Drosophila melanogaster: one gene and its partner. The protein of the gene in region 1 interacts with the protein of each later gene in a pairwise test. Each region holds a gene or a part of one and is shown on either strand. Other genes may lie near its edges.

What was found. The genes of interacting proteins can lie anywhere in the genome.
Region 2: the proteins of CG32354 (region 1) and Mrgn1 interact in a two-hybrid assay, tested with the Drosophila melanogaster proteins (one large-scale study listed by BioGRID).

What each region holds. Positions count from the first base shown.
Region 1 is NT_037436.4:8,416,195-8,424,127, forward strand, and holds the start of CG32354 (uncharacterized protein), read right to left. Parts: upstream 6,012-7,933; 5' UTR 4,873-6,011; coding exon 4,647-4,872; intron 1,666-4,646; coding exon 645-1,665; intron 589-644; coding exon 391-588; intron 330-390; coding exon 1-329.
Region 2 is NC_004354.4:13,718,200-13,723,900, forward strand, and holds Mrgn1 (mahogunin ring finger 1), read right to left. Parts: upstream 3,779-5,701; 5' UTR 3,478-3,778; coding exon 2,219-3,477; intron 2,153-2,218; coding exon 1,212-2,152; intron 1,147-1,211; coding exon 977-1,146; 3' UTR 535-976; downstream 1-534. Other genes in the region: mus101 (mutagen-sensitive 101), read left to right, coding at 4,155-5,701.

The sequences.
Region 1 (7,933 bases):
CCACGAAAACATGCTTGCCACAATTCTCCTTGCGCATGTGGCACTCGGACTTGTACAAGTTGTTGTCCGATCCGCAGACGAAACTTGGCGGCTGGGCATCACAATCCGATTCGCAGTCGGCGGTTAAAGCGCAATTCTTTAGCGAAACGGGCACCACACGCAGATCGCAAGTGCGCCGCTTGAACTCGCACATGGAGGCGAAGGTGTTGCCATCCGAGCCGCACACTGGCTGCTGTTCCAGATCCGCCCGAGTACAGGCATCCCCGCAATCCTTGGTGGGCGAATTGAGATCCGTGCAGGGACCAATGTGGGCCAGATTCACGCCGCGTCTGAAAAGAAGTTGAAGAGCTAGATCCATGTCCTATGGATGATCCTATCATGGATACTCACAGGCAGGTGGCGTGGGCCAGTTCGCACTCATTGTTATAAGTCTTGGCGTCCGTGCCGCAGAGCTTGTCATTTCGCTTCGAGCTGAAGATGGAACCGAACAAGCTATTGAAGTCCTTGCAAGGAGGCAGCTGTTTGCAGCGGGTCAGTCGATTCTTGCACTTGTCCATGCTCACTTTTTGAATGGACTTGCGCTGTGGACTGAAAGATAAAATTTTAGTCTGGTTATATTCCATTTTTATCTCATCCAAACTCACCCGCAATTGAGCATTTTGAGTTCACACAGCGAAGAGTATATGTTGCCATCACTGCCGCACACGTACTGCGACGAGGAATCCGTATCCGATTTGGGACACTCCGTGGGACAGGCATCGGAGGCTCCGTGCCTCTCCTGCGACATGCAGTAGGATAAGGGAACCTCAAAGACGTGCTTGCCGCAATTGGAAGAGCGCATCTTGCACGGACTGGCATACAGTCTGCCATCTGATCCGCAAGTGGGCCTCGCCACACGCCAGCAGGATTCCCTGCACATTCGTGTGGACTGACAGTGCTTCCGGCTGGTTTTCACCACACCCTGTCCACACGTCTTCAGCTTCATCTCGCACGTGGAGTTGTATACATTGCCATCCGATGAGCAAACTGGTCCATCCTTCGGCGCACTGTTGCAGTCAACCGGACAGGACTCACGCACGGCACTCGTGTTGCTGCAGGGACCCACATGCGATAGCTTCACTGCAGCCAATCCCACGCGACACGATTGCACCCTCAGCATGCAGCGATTCAGATAGGTCCTTCCGTCTGTACCACACACTGGATCCTTCTCCGTGCTGCAGCGGTGCTTGCAGTCCGAACCCTTCGACCTCTCGCAGCCATCCCGCACGTCCTTGATCAGCGACACTCCACTGCGGGAGCAAGTCTTCTTGCGCAGCTCGCAGATATTCGCATAGATCAGACCATCGCTGCCGCACACGGGCTCAGCTCCCACGGTGATGCTCGGTGGACAGGATCGAGGACAGTTGCCGGTGCCGGTGTTACTAGCCCTATTCCGTCTGCCCATCTGTGACAGCTGCTGTTGCTCCGTCTCCTCGCGCAGCAGCGACTCCAAGGCAGCTGCCGCCGCTCCGGGTGCCTGCATCAATGTGGACGACAGCTCCGGTCGCGCATCCTGACGATAGTTGATCAGCAATGAGTTGGGCGCCGCATCTGCACTGCGATAGCGGATAACTGGCGCCTGCGCCGGCAGCCGGATAATCTTGATGGGTGAGTCTGTCACAGCGCCTGTGGATGGAAATGATTTTAGAATTTAATTGGTTTCTATCTAGAAACTTAATTCTAAACATTTAAAGCAAGACAGTAGTTCCTCCTCCTCTGTTATATGAACTTATTAAACAAAGCTTAGTAATAATTACTACTTCCCCGCACGTAATGACCGGTTGTCCATCGAATTTTCCCAGGGTAACTCTGTTTCGAGACCGCCAAATGAAACTTTCCCTTCGCATTTTCCACAGCTCTTTAGCGGTGGCATGCGGAAGAGTCAACTGTGGGCATACAAATGTCAGATTAGCCGCACGATCATAGGGCATTTTGCGCAGTTGTGACCCACTGTGTCCATGCCGCCACCCGCCGACACTCCCCCGCATCCGAGACCAGTCTCTGATTCTGGAGTGATCGCATGACCGACTCAAGTAACCAGCCATTAACTTGAATAATTCTTTCCCTTTTTACTAACGGCAACGGCAAATGTTACCCGTCTTCAAATCTCGATTCCAAGTAAAACGACACAATGGCATTTATGTTTTGGCTGTGGTTTGAGCACAGCTAATACACTCGCTTCGTTCATACGGACTATCAGCGACCTCCATCTATAATTGTTCATGCTAATCCCCTCCAGAAATCGTAAGCTTAATCTGTGCTAAAAACTGCAAGTGAAATTTCCACACTAATTGCCTCCGGCGCCGAACATTTCTGTTGTCTTTGGTCGGATGTGGAACTGCTGGTTTAGTTTGGGTTGATTTGTCCATTTTTCTTATTTTTTTTTTTTTTTTTGTTTGCAAAGAAAGCTGTGAGAGCCGCCTCCGGAGGAAGCACTCAACTTAGTTAAAGATATACGAACGTAAATAGACATACCCAACAGCAGTAGAAAATCTATTAGCGCTCTTTGAGGCTGCCACACGATGGTTTGGCTGCGATAATTGAACCCACGTTCATTATTCCAATTTGCTGCTGCCGGCCATAAAGATGGAAATTTCAACATCCAGCCAGCCAGCCAGTCAGTCAGTCGAGCAGACGCATTCTCAGCTTAATGGACTCGGATGCTTCTCTGGCTGGATGCGAGTCCGAATCTGAATCGGAGGCATCGGCATCCAGAGGAGCCATTAAGCGCGGAGAAAATTAAGCGGCGTTAGGAATTAATGCACATGTAAACGATCCGCTGGAATGGTCAGAGGCAAAAGCCGAGACCACAGCCAATCTCATTCAGCATTGCAGCAATGCGACCTCAACCGCCCCACCCACTCTCACCAATCCTGCACTGGCAGAAAAGTGTGGTACTAGTCCTGGGATAAACTCAGAATCAAATCACTCATGCAAACTAATGGTACAAACTTATACAACACCATACACCATACTATTTTGCATTTTAAATACACCTCTGATTTACTGATTTCCTTTTGTTCATATGTTCTGCTGATTTCTCCCAGTGCAGGTGCATTTTCCTGGCCTCCAGCGAATTGCTGGCAGGCTCCTGCCTATCGGATGCCATCAATTGCAAAAAAAAAAGGCGAGAGAAATAATAAAAGCAGCCACCGTATAATTTTCAAAAGTGGAAAAATCCAGCAACCAACGCACTGCACTGCTGGGCAGGGACTTTTGCATGATATATACTGGGTATGTACATATATATATGTACATATGTACATACATATCTATATATGCACATGGAGCACACCATGTGCACTCGGTTTGCTCCGGTTTGGTGTGGCACAGTGGCGAGCAGCGACATGACCAAGCCCATAGATGAATGAATCACGGCGCCACTGATTGGGGCCATTAAAACATATATGTACATATGTACATATATATGTGTATATGCATGCGAGCATATATCACAGCATCCAAAACTAATTGATCTTTCACCCATCAATCTCCGATGAAGTGCGGTTATCAATTAGCCAAACGATCGCGCTTACAAGTCAAATAAATCATTTCGCTTCGGGTCAACTTTAAACGATGTAACCCCCCCAATTGACCCCCAACCCTTTCCAGCTCGCTGCCACTGTGCGGTCAGCTTGATTTTCCCCCCCCCCCATGAGCTAGCGATTCGCCCCTCTTCCACCAGCCCCCCCCCCCCCCTACGTTTTCAGGCCCCCGGCTTCTGTTTGGCCCCTTCGTGCTTTTAATGAATTTATACGAATGTTGGACAAATTGTGCACGAAAATATTTACGAGCATGTTGTGCGTCGAGGAGTGAGTGCCTCAAACTGGGGAGTTCGTGGTCTAGGGGGCGGTGGGGGGAGAGGTGTTGGGGCATTGGAAGCTTCGCGCTCGTGTATGTGTGCCAGTTTACATTCACTTTGTGCGGAGTAGTACCTTAGAAATGGATAGTTGAATAGCTGCTGCGACGGCCTTTCTACCACCGCACAGCTGTAGGTCTTAGATCCGGACCCCGATTCACCTTCTCCGTTTCAACACCCGGAGAAATTAGGCGGTAATTGAGACGGCACTCACTGGGACTTGTCCAGTCTGTCTGCAACTTTCATTTAGCTCAAGATCAGTTGCCGTTTTCCGCTGAAGAACTCGGGTTTCCCTAGAACTCTGTCCGCAGTTTTAACTGCAACTCAATAACGATGTGATAGTTAGGAGAAAGTACATTTAGCAAGAGGAAAACTAATACCCTTTGAAACTTGTATTAGGCCCTTTTAAATGTAATGTTAACTAATCTGGATTTAAATAGAGCATTCTTTACTTTAGCAATGGCTTAAGAGTTCCATAGTCAGTTTTCTCTTTTATGATTATATTGGACTTAATGCTCTGCTTAAGGAACCTAGTTTTATCTTAATCTGATTTTAATTTAGTTAGGAGGAACTTTGCTGAATCTGAATCAACGTATACTTCTTTAGCTGATTCATTTCTTGAGGCAATTAAACAATTTGAATAGTGAGAATGCCAGGAAAGAGATTCGAATGATCTAAGACTACTTCCTGTGACTTTCTACTCAACGTGTAGCACCAATTTTGGGATTTCTCGCAGTGTACGACTTACCACTGGTGGTTGACGCAAATGCCGCCAACGTGAACATGGCCAAGAGTGCGCCAAACAGCTGTCGCTGGCTCTTGGTGCCGCCAAAGCTGAGGCCCAGACTGGGGCTGTGGTTATGGCTGCATCTGGCGATCTGGCTTGGAGTCTGGCCAAGTCCGTGGGCCTGTGTTTGGGTGGCGTTTGGGGCGGGGGGCTGCAGATGCAGATGCAGATGCTGTTTGTGGTGCATTTTCGCTGGCTGTCTGCTGCACTTTTCCTATTAGACGCTTGATGATTTGTTGTTGCCGCTCGGATCGGATGCGTGCGTGATGTGAGACTGAGGCGTGCGGCGCTTTCGCTCGTTAACAATTGAAATTGAAATAGTAGCAAACTTTTATGCGGCTGCGGCTCACGGTGGATGAAAGTTTTTTTTTCTCTTCCTCGGTCGATCTACCAGGGAGATAGAGATATAGTGGTGCTATATAGTATATGGACTATATAACTGCTCGTAATGGCGCTTAAGCTGTTCGAATTAACGGTAATCTTGCGGTCATTTGGGCCTGGCCTGCTCTTCTTCTTCTTCTTCCTGCTCTTCTTGTTAACCGATGTCGTTGTGTTGCCTTCTCTCTCTCTCTCTTTAGCGCCCTTTTACGAGTTCATTCGTTTGCCTATCAACATCAAGCTCCCGTGTCTTACGCTGTCTTCTGTCTCTTTCGCTTTTCCCTTTGCCTGCCGGGCACTTGACCTTTTCACACAATCGCACAATGGAGCATAATTTCTTTTTTATCGCCTTGGCTTTATGGCTTTTTCTTGATGTTTTGTGGATTTTTGCACGGCCCGCCTTTAATTTGATTTCAATTACTGGTTCTGGTAAGGCTTTATTTTCCTTTTATTTGCTTTTTATAACGTTTTTCTTTTTTTTTTCGTTTCTATTATGCGCACAAAACAATTCGCTTTTGTCCGTTACTCTTTTGTCGTTTGAATTTGACTTTGATGCGCGCTCTTCGAGTTTCGATTCGCATATGAAAAATGATCTGTCTTTCGGATTTCGATGCTGCTGCTACTGTTCTGCCTCGGCCGATGCCTCCGCTGACGCCTACTGCGACGCCGACTGCGACTGCAACTGCGGCGATTGCATTTCGTATTTCATTTCTTCTTTTTTATTGTTCTCGAATGAATGAATGAATGAATGGGCACTAACACACTCGCGCTCGCATCCGATTTGTACAATTCGTATTGTCGTCTTTGCCTCTGTTTCTTTTTTCGCCTTTTTAACTTTTTTCTTAGGCCTTTGTTTAGTGCGCTCTAGAGTCGCTCTGAAATCTCGGAAAGCTTGGGCTCCAAATGCGACTGGAAGGTTTGACAATGCGCCGACGAATGGCAAAAAATTTGCAATGAAAAGAAATTTATATGGGTGAAAGGCAGCGCAGTCGGCGACGGCAGAGCAGAGCATCCAGCGCTGTTGTTGTTGCAGCTACACTCGAAACAATTCACTCATCTTTTGAATACTAAATCAAGAGTATTTCCAGTTAGGACAAAAAGCACCGCTTTCTTTAAGTTTTTAAAGTTGAAAAACAATGAAAAAATAAAAATATATATGAATAATAATAAAAAAGTTATAATGTACAATAACAGCAATGGTGGATTGTAAAAGGATACAATTCAAAGATATGCATGTCTGTGCAGTTTCAAACTTTCAAAATGTAACATATATTGAGAGCAGTAAAGAGAGCAAGTAAATTTAAGTTAAAAATGTAGTCTAGTCTTGATCTTTTTGAATAGACCTATATTTCTTTTTAAACTTTAACGGTTTACTACCACAAGTTTTTCGAGTGCATTGTTGGGTGCCGGGGCATATTGATTAAATGGAGTTGTTGGTATTTAAAATAACAACTTGGTCATGTCTGCCTGGCCTAATCGGTTTTGCGTACAAATTTAATTTGCCAAAAGTGGCAGCAAAATGCAGCCAAAAAGGCGCGCCGCATTTGAAATTATAACTCACACACTCGATTCGATTCGATACGATACGATTCGATCGGATCAGATGCATCCACATCCACGTCCGTGCTCCCCCAACATCTCCGATGCCCAAACCCAAGCCATACCATCCCACATCCAATATACAATATTCACGATCCGAGTCCACGATTCAGTTGCAGTGGCATTGGCATTGGCAGTTGCAGTTGCAGTAGAAAGTGCAGCCTGGAAGCTGTGTTTATAGACTTGTAGACTTTAAAGCCATAAATTTTACGCCTCAGCGGCCGTTGCGAATAAGGGTCACACACACATAGCCTACTATCACCTTGCACAGTGTCCTGATGCCAATTTAAGGTGCATGTTTACTAATGCATTCACACAAAAATATTTGATTTTGGCATAGTTTAGCTATTAGAGCTTAGACCTTATCTAATTGTCTTAGGTATTATATATTTGATATAATAATATTTTAGTTAAGTAATTCTAGCTTATGTTAAAAGGAATACAAAGTAATGCTACCCAAATAAATAACTTGCTAGTAACATAAAAAATGAAGTTATATTTTAAACTATAAATAGTAAGTAAATAAATGTTCTTAAGCAAAACATAATCCTTAATCTTTCATGGTTCGGGACATATGAGCTTTAAGTTAATATTCAATCTTTTTAAGAATTTTAATGTTGCTTTTTTTTCTTACGAGTACTTTCCCTTAAAACTTTGTGCAATAAATCATCATTTTTGGGAAATGCGTTGTGGGTGCTTAAATTCCACATGTTTTGGAACCACTGTGCGCTGGCGGTGGGTGGAGGAAGGTGAAGAAGCAGATCATTGGCGGCGGAGTCGCGTGCATTAAAGAAAATTGAGTGGAGGTGGAGGTGGAAGTGGCCGTCGCATGGGAAAAGAGGTCAGTAAGTGAATGTTTACAGTTAGCTTTTTGGGCAGATCAGAGAGAGCCAGGTCCAAAACAAAACCAAACAAAACAAAACAAAACATAATGCCGAGCCGATCTCAGCTCGACGGAAAAAGCCAAACTGCATATGACAGGCGTGACTCGGCTTTAAGCGCCAGTGCCCAGAACTAATACCCCAAACACGACGAGCTGCAGATCCCATAGAAATGAGGGGGACAAACCGCAGGAAAAGACCGCCAAAAAAAAAAAAAATAAATAAGAAACTGAAAACAGAAGAGCAAAATTTAATTAAAAGAAAGCCAGGCTGGCGCGGAGACGTAAAAACCTTTTGGCAGCCGTGCAGTTTCTTTTTTGGCCAAATATTTGACGGCGCTCGCCTGCGGTTGCCAATAAAAATGGAAAGTGAAAATTGCGGCTGCAGTGG
Region 2 (5,701 bases), on another chromosome or scaffold:
ACGCGAAAAACCACCGAAAAGAAATTCTTAAACGGGCGAAAGGTAAACAAATCCAATTGGACAATTCCAAGGGTGATCTCTAGTGATGGCAGCTCCTAGCGGCCTATCGACGCCTTTCGATAGTGTGGGCGCTGTTATCGATAGCGATTTGCAAAAGTTTTTTATTTAAATAATGCATTTAAAGTTGATATTTAATATGAAAATTGGAAATGACATTTTTCTTTTACGTATAAGTAAAAGTTTATAATTTCACTTTAACGCATAACGTAATATTAAAATTCGAATTTGAAAATATGTATGTTTGAATTAACTATTTAATACAAAAATGTGTTGGATTTATGGTTTTAAGACCACAATTTACTATTATTTTGTTACTGCGTACTGCCACATGTATTTAATGGCTTTAGATTAATATATTTGTTGCTAAATTACTTCATTCTTGCTAATTAATATTCACAAGTTACTCTTGATATTCAAGGAGTAATATATGTATATACCACACTGCCGCCCATTGATAGTGTAACTAATTTAGTTCGAATTATACTGTGGAATGTAGCGCCCTAGGCGCCGTTGTTTATTGGATTTATTTTATTTGTTATATACCCAAGCCATTATACTAGATTAAACTACATACACACACATGCATGTGGGACGTGTGTCTTTTCGTGTCTGTGGTGTTAGTGTTTGTATGTATGTATATACTGTGTATACTGGTTAAGTGTTGCGTCCTGGTAGCCTTATTCCTTGCTCCTCCTCCGTTCCATCCTTATCCGTATTATCATTATCATCATCATCATCATCATCATCATTAGCATTACCATTAATATTAATATTAATATAATCCTCAAAATATTTGTTCCTGCGAGCGGGGAAGCAGCATTGATTTAACTAAATCTAGGTGAACTCCGAATAAATAGTATAAACGCAAAGCTAAAACGAGAAAACGAATTTCCGCGAAATTCAACCGAGACCGGCTCTAAACATTGACGGCATTCTGCAGAGCTGTCTTGTCATCTACGATAATATTGGCCGCCGTAGTGGTCGGATTGGAGCTGAGCAGCTGCTTGGTGGACGAACTGGAGGAGTAGCTATCACTGGAGCTGCGCGTCGAGGCCGAGTTGCCGCTGATTGGGCTGTCCAACATGTCTGGATGGCAGTAAGATATATGTTTTAATCATGTGACAATTGGAAACCGAATCAGAAACACCAACCTGGCAGGGAGCTTACGTTGTTGGACTTCAAGTCCACAACCGTTGTCACCGATCCGGAGCCCACCATGTTGCCCACCGATGTGGACTTTTTGTGCAGGTTCTTCTTAACTGCACTACTGAAACCCACAACGACGGGTCCCACTCCAGCTTGTCCGCCCACTGATCCTGCGCTCCTGCCCACGCTGAGACCGCCATTGCCCAGACTGCCGGCGCCAAGGGGATCACCGCTTTTGGCTCGCTCCGTGGGGCACAGTGGGCTTAATATCGAATTCTGAGTATCCTCCGGCGTGTAGTAATCCGAATCCTCGGCCGTGGCCTCGGCGGGTGAGGGTGCACCGCTTCCGCTAAGTTCTGGTCTCGGTTTGGTGCGCTTTATCGACGAACCCTTCTTTAGGCTGGACTCCTCGGTCGGCCCATCACCAGTGCTGCTCTTATTATCGACATCATCATCCGCTTCCAGGCAGGCCACCACCTGCTTCAGCGATTTGCTAGAAACGTTCTTGCTCTTGCTGCCGGGTGATAGCAGAGGCGATAGCTTCTCGTTCTCACTGTCCACATCGTCATCGGTACCCGCGGAGCCATCGCCACCGGAACCGGCTGTGGATCTGGGATACTTTCGTTCGTTAACAATCTGCAGCTTGTCCTGTTTCGGTTCCGGCGAAGTGGATGCCCCCAATGTTGGCGAAGTACAGGTGGCCGTGCTGGACTTCTTCGGATCGCTTTCAATCTCCACAGAGTGTGTGGATGACCCATTGCCGCCGCCCGATTGATTGGTAATGGTGCCCACCTCACTGGTCGACGTGCACGTCGAAGCGTTTTTCTTGATCTTCGGTCGACGCTGGCTGCTGGACTTGATCGGCGATGTGGCCTTGATGTCAGCACTGGTCATTGTCGAAGCGGCCACGGTGGCAGCTGAGTCCGTGACATCGTGTTCGCTGTTCCTGAATTTTGGAAAAAAAGGCATCAGCTACGTAAGATTTATCGGTTAATTCCATTCCATAACTCACCTAGCCCTGGCCACATACTGTGGCGGTCCGTTGAGTGCCTCAATTAGTGAGACTGGAATATAGCCTGGCGGAACATCCACTGGCGCCGGCTCCCCGGCCGCCGATGTGGGCGTGTTCTGGTGCAGTACATGCGTGCTAATTCCCTTCTGGACAGCACGGATCTGAAGCAACGCCCGAAACGGAGCGCGACAAATGGGACAATTGTTGGCCTGATAGCGCAGCGAATCCGCGCATGAATTGCACAAACAGAGATGGCGGCAGGGCAGGATGAGCGTATCCCTCGTCTCACTCATGCAAATAACACACTCGCTGCCATGATCGTCGATCTCCTCGTCCAGAGACGTTTTGTTCACGGCCTTGTTCTCGATGCCATAGATCTCCTGTAGCAGGTAGCACAAGCCATCCACAAAGATCTTTTGCTTCAATGCACGCAGCACATAGCTGCCGTTTTCCGGATGATGATCGATCACACAGATGGTGGTGTGCGATTGCCGACACTCGTCGCTGCCCTCCTCCACCACACAGTGAATGGCCACGGGATACTGTTCACGGCCGGGACTATAGCCCAGTTCATCCTCGGGCATCTGCTGCGGATTGAAGACATGGCTCGGCTGCGAGAAGCACTGATTGATGCCCTTCTCGTAGTGGTACGTCTCCGAGGTGAGACCCTCGCGCGGCACCAGTGTCACGCCGCTGGGACTGACATCCTCCGAGCAGAAATAGTAAATGGTAATGGCGCACTTGGCGTCCGAGTCAAAGGTAAACTCGATGTTGTAAGAGCAGGGCGGCGGTGGGGGCGTCATATCGGCATCACCGCCACCCAAACCCATCGAGCAGAGCACATTTCCATCCACATCCTCGATGGTCACGTTGGACTTCTCCTTGTCCAGATCCAAGTCCCGATCAATCTCCTTCATCTTGGGCTTCTCGAGTACACCGCCCAGCTTCTTGTCGTTCATCGTCTTGACGAAACGCACCGACTCCTTGCGAATGTTGACCAGACTCTTCAGGGTCTTCGTCGGTTCATTGGCCTGCGGCGGGGGATACGGAAAGGCTGTGGGTCGATTGCCCAGGAAATTGAGATCCGCATTCTCGCCAAACAAGTACGATTCCGGTTGGGGCGTGTCGAAGCGCTCGCCGCCCATGATGAAGTGGGTGCCAAAGAAGTTACCCATTCTCGGTGGATACTTGTAGGCATTGTTCGTGCTCGGATCGGCCTCCTCCACCGCCGCGTTCTGTCTGCTCACAAAGTTGCCCATTTGATAGGTTGGTGCTATGGAAAACTGTGACACAGATCCAATATAGCTCTTGGCCTACGTTTTCTCTTCGCTTTGGTTTAGTTTATTATTCTATTTCAGTTGGTCACCACCACACATACAATGGCATGTTGGCATTTCACTTGTTCGGCGGAAAATGGCCGCTGTGTGTGTGTGAGTGTGCGAAAGCTGTGGTCGCCTTCAAGTGTTGGATCCTGTGTCCACAAAACTAGCAATAGTACAAGTTGGTCAATGTCTTGATTATTTCTGATTTGCCTTTCCTTTCTTCTTTCTTCCTTTCTTTTAGGGCTGAGCTGCCGTCGACGACGTGGATATCGATATTTCGCTTAATGAAATATATCGATAGCTTAAACCAAAACTGATAAATAACTGCTTATTTTCGAAATATTTTATTTATTTGATAAAAAGTAAATAAAAAATCCTTACATCTTAGAGATAAATAATTAAAATTACCCATACACATTATTTTTTAATTCGCCGTCGGCGTTGCCACATAGCTCAACTCGTAGTTGCCAACTAATCACAAGCCAGCGTTGCCAACGGTTTGAAGGCAATAACAAACGGCGCCAAAATAGCGTACGCGAAAAAAAGTGCAGTGCGAAAATCACGGCAATTTTGCAGCGCATCACGGAGCAGAGAACACACTCGCAACCGCCATCATGAGCATAAGCATGAGCATGGACGAGACCATCTGCGCGTACTTCGTGAACAATCTGAAGCCGGGCGACGGTGGCGTCCAGGAGGCCGACACACTGCAGCAATTCGAGGCGGCGCGGGAGCTACTGGGCCAACAGTTGGCGGAAACGCAGATCCGGCAAATAAAGCCAAGCGAAGGATATCCCCTGATCGCAGCCGGTAACCTTACCAAGAAGGACGTCTTTGTGCTGACCCAGTTCGAGGGCGAATTCTTCGAGCAATTGCAGCAGACGCGAGCACTAATTCTGGGGCCACCGTGCCTCATCACCTGCCTGCGGCGCAATGAACCCATTCCCGAGGGCAGCAGTGCCATCTACAGCACGGCCATGCGGGATCTGCAGGTCTCGGCCACGGGCATAACACCACAGAAGAAAGAGGAATTGAGCAGGCTCATAAACTGGATGGGCGGCATATACTTTCAAAGCTTCGGGCATCGCACCACCCACCTCATTTCGAACACCATCAAGTCCAGCAAGTACGAGCAGGCAACGCTGAACGGAGTACCCGTAATGCACGTCGACTGGGTGCAGTACGTCTGGGATCAGAGTCGTCGCAGCCAGCGCGAGGGCATCATGGCCACGGATCCTGATTTCGATAAGTATCGCCTGCCCATTTTCTTTGGTGCGAATATCACGTGCAGTGGATTGGATGTGGCGCGCAAGGATCAAGTTATGCGGCTGGTCAACGATAATGGAGGCATCTATCATCGTGCCTTTCGCTCCCAGGTGGTGGACATCGTCATCACCGAGCAAACAAAAACGGACACCGAGAAGTATAAGGCAGCCATACGCTACAAGAAGGATGTCTTGCTGCCGGAATGGATCTTCGATAGCTGCAATCGCGGCTACGCTCTGCCCACAAAGGACTATGAGGTGCGGCCTGGCAAGACGTCGTCCACACCCACCAAGACCACTCGTCCGGGCGCAGCTCCCGGTGCAGATCAAACGCACCTCTCGGATCTCTCACGTATCAGCTTCGTCTCCGGCTCGCGTCGCATGTGCAGCGATCTTAGTACCGTCAACGAATCCGTCAGCAGTGTGGGCAGCAGTTCGCCCGCCAAGCAGCTGCTCAAGCAGGCGACTAGCAGTGGCCGCAACTACCAGCAGGTGCTGGCCGAGATTGAACCGCGTCAGGCGAAAAAAGCGGGCGCCTTTCTGGATGGCTGCTGTGTGTATTTGAGTGGCTTCCGCTCAGAGGAGCGTGAGAAGCTAAACAGAGTGCTGAATACGGGCGGAGCGACCCGCTACGATGAGGCCAATGAGGGCATCTCACACATCATTGTGGGCCAACTGGATGACGCCGAATACCGACAGTGGCAGCGCGATGGTCTCATGGGTTCAGTTCATGTGGTGCGCCTAGATTGGCTGCTGGAGAGCATTCGAGCTGGTCGCGTGGTCAGTGAGTTGGTGCATCGTGTGTCGATGCCACAGAATCGAGAACCAGACGTTGCCTCTCCTGCCAGCAAGCGAACACTGCGCTCCATGAACCACAGCTTCAAGCAGCCAACATT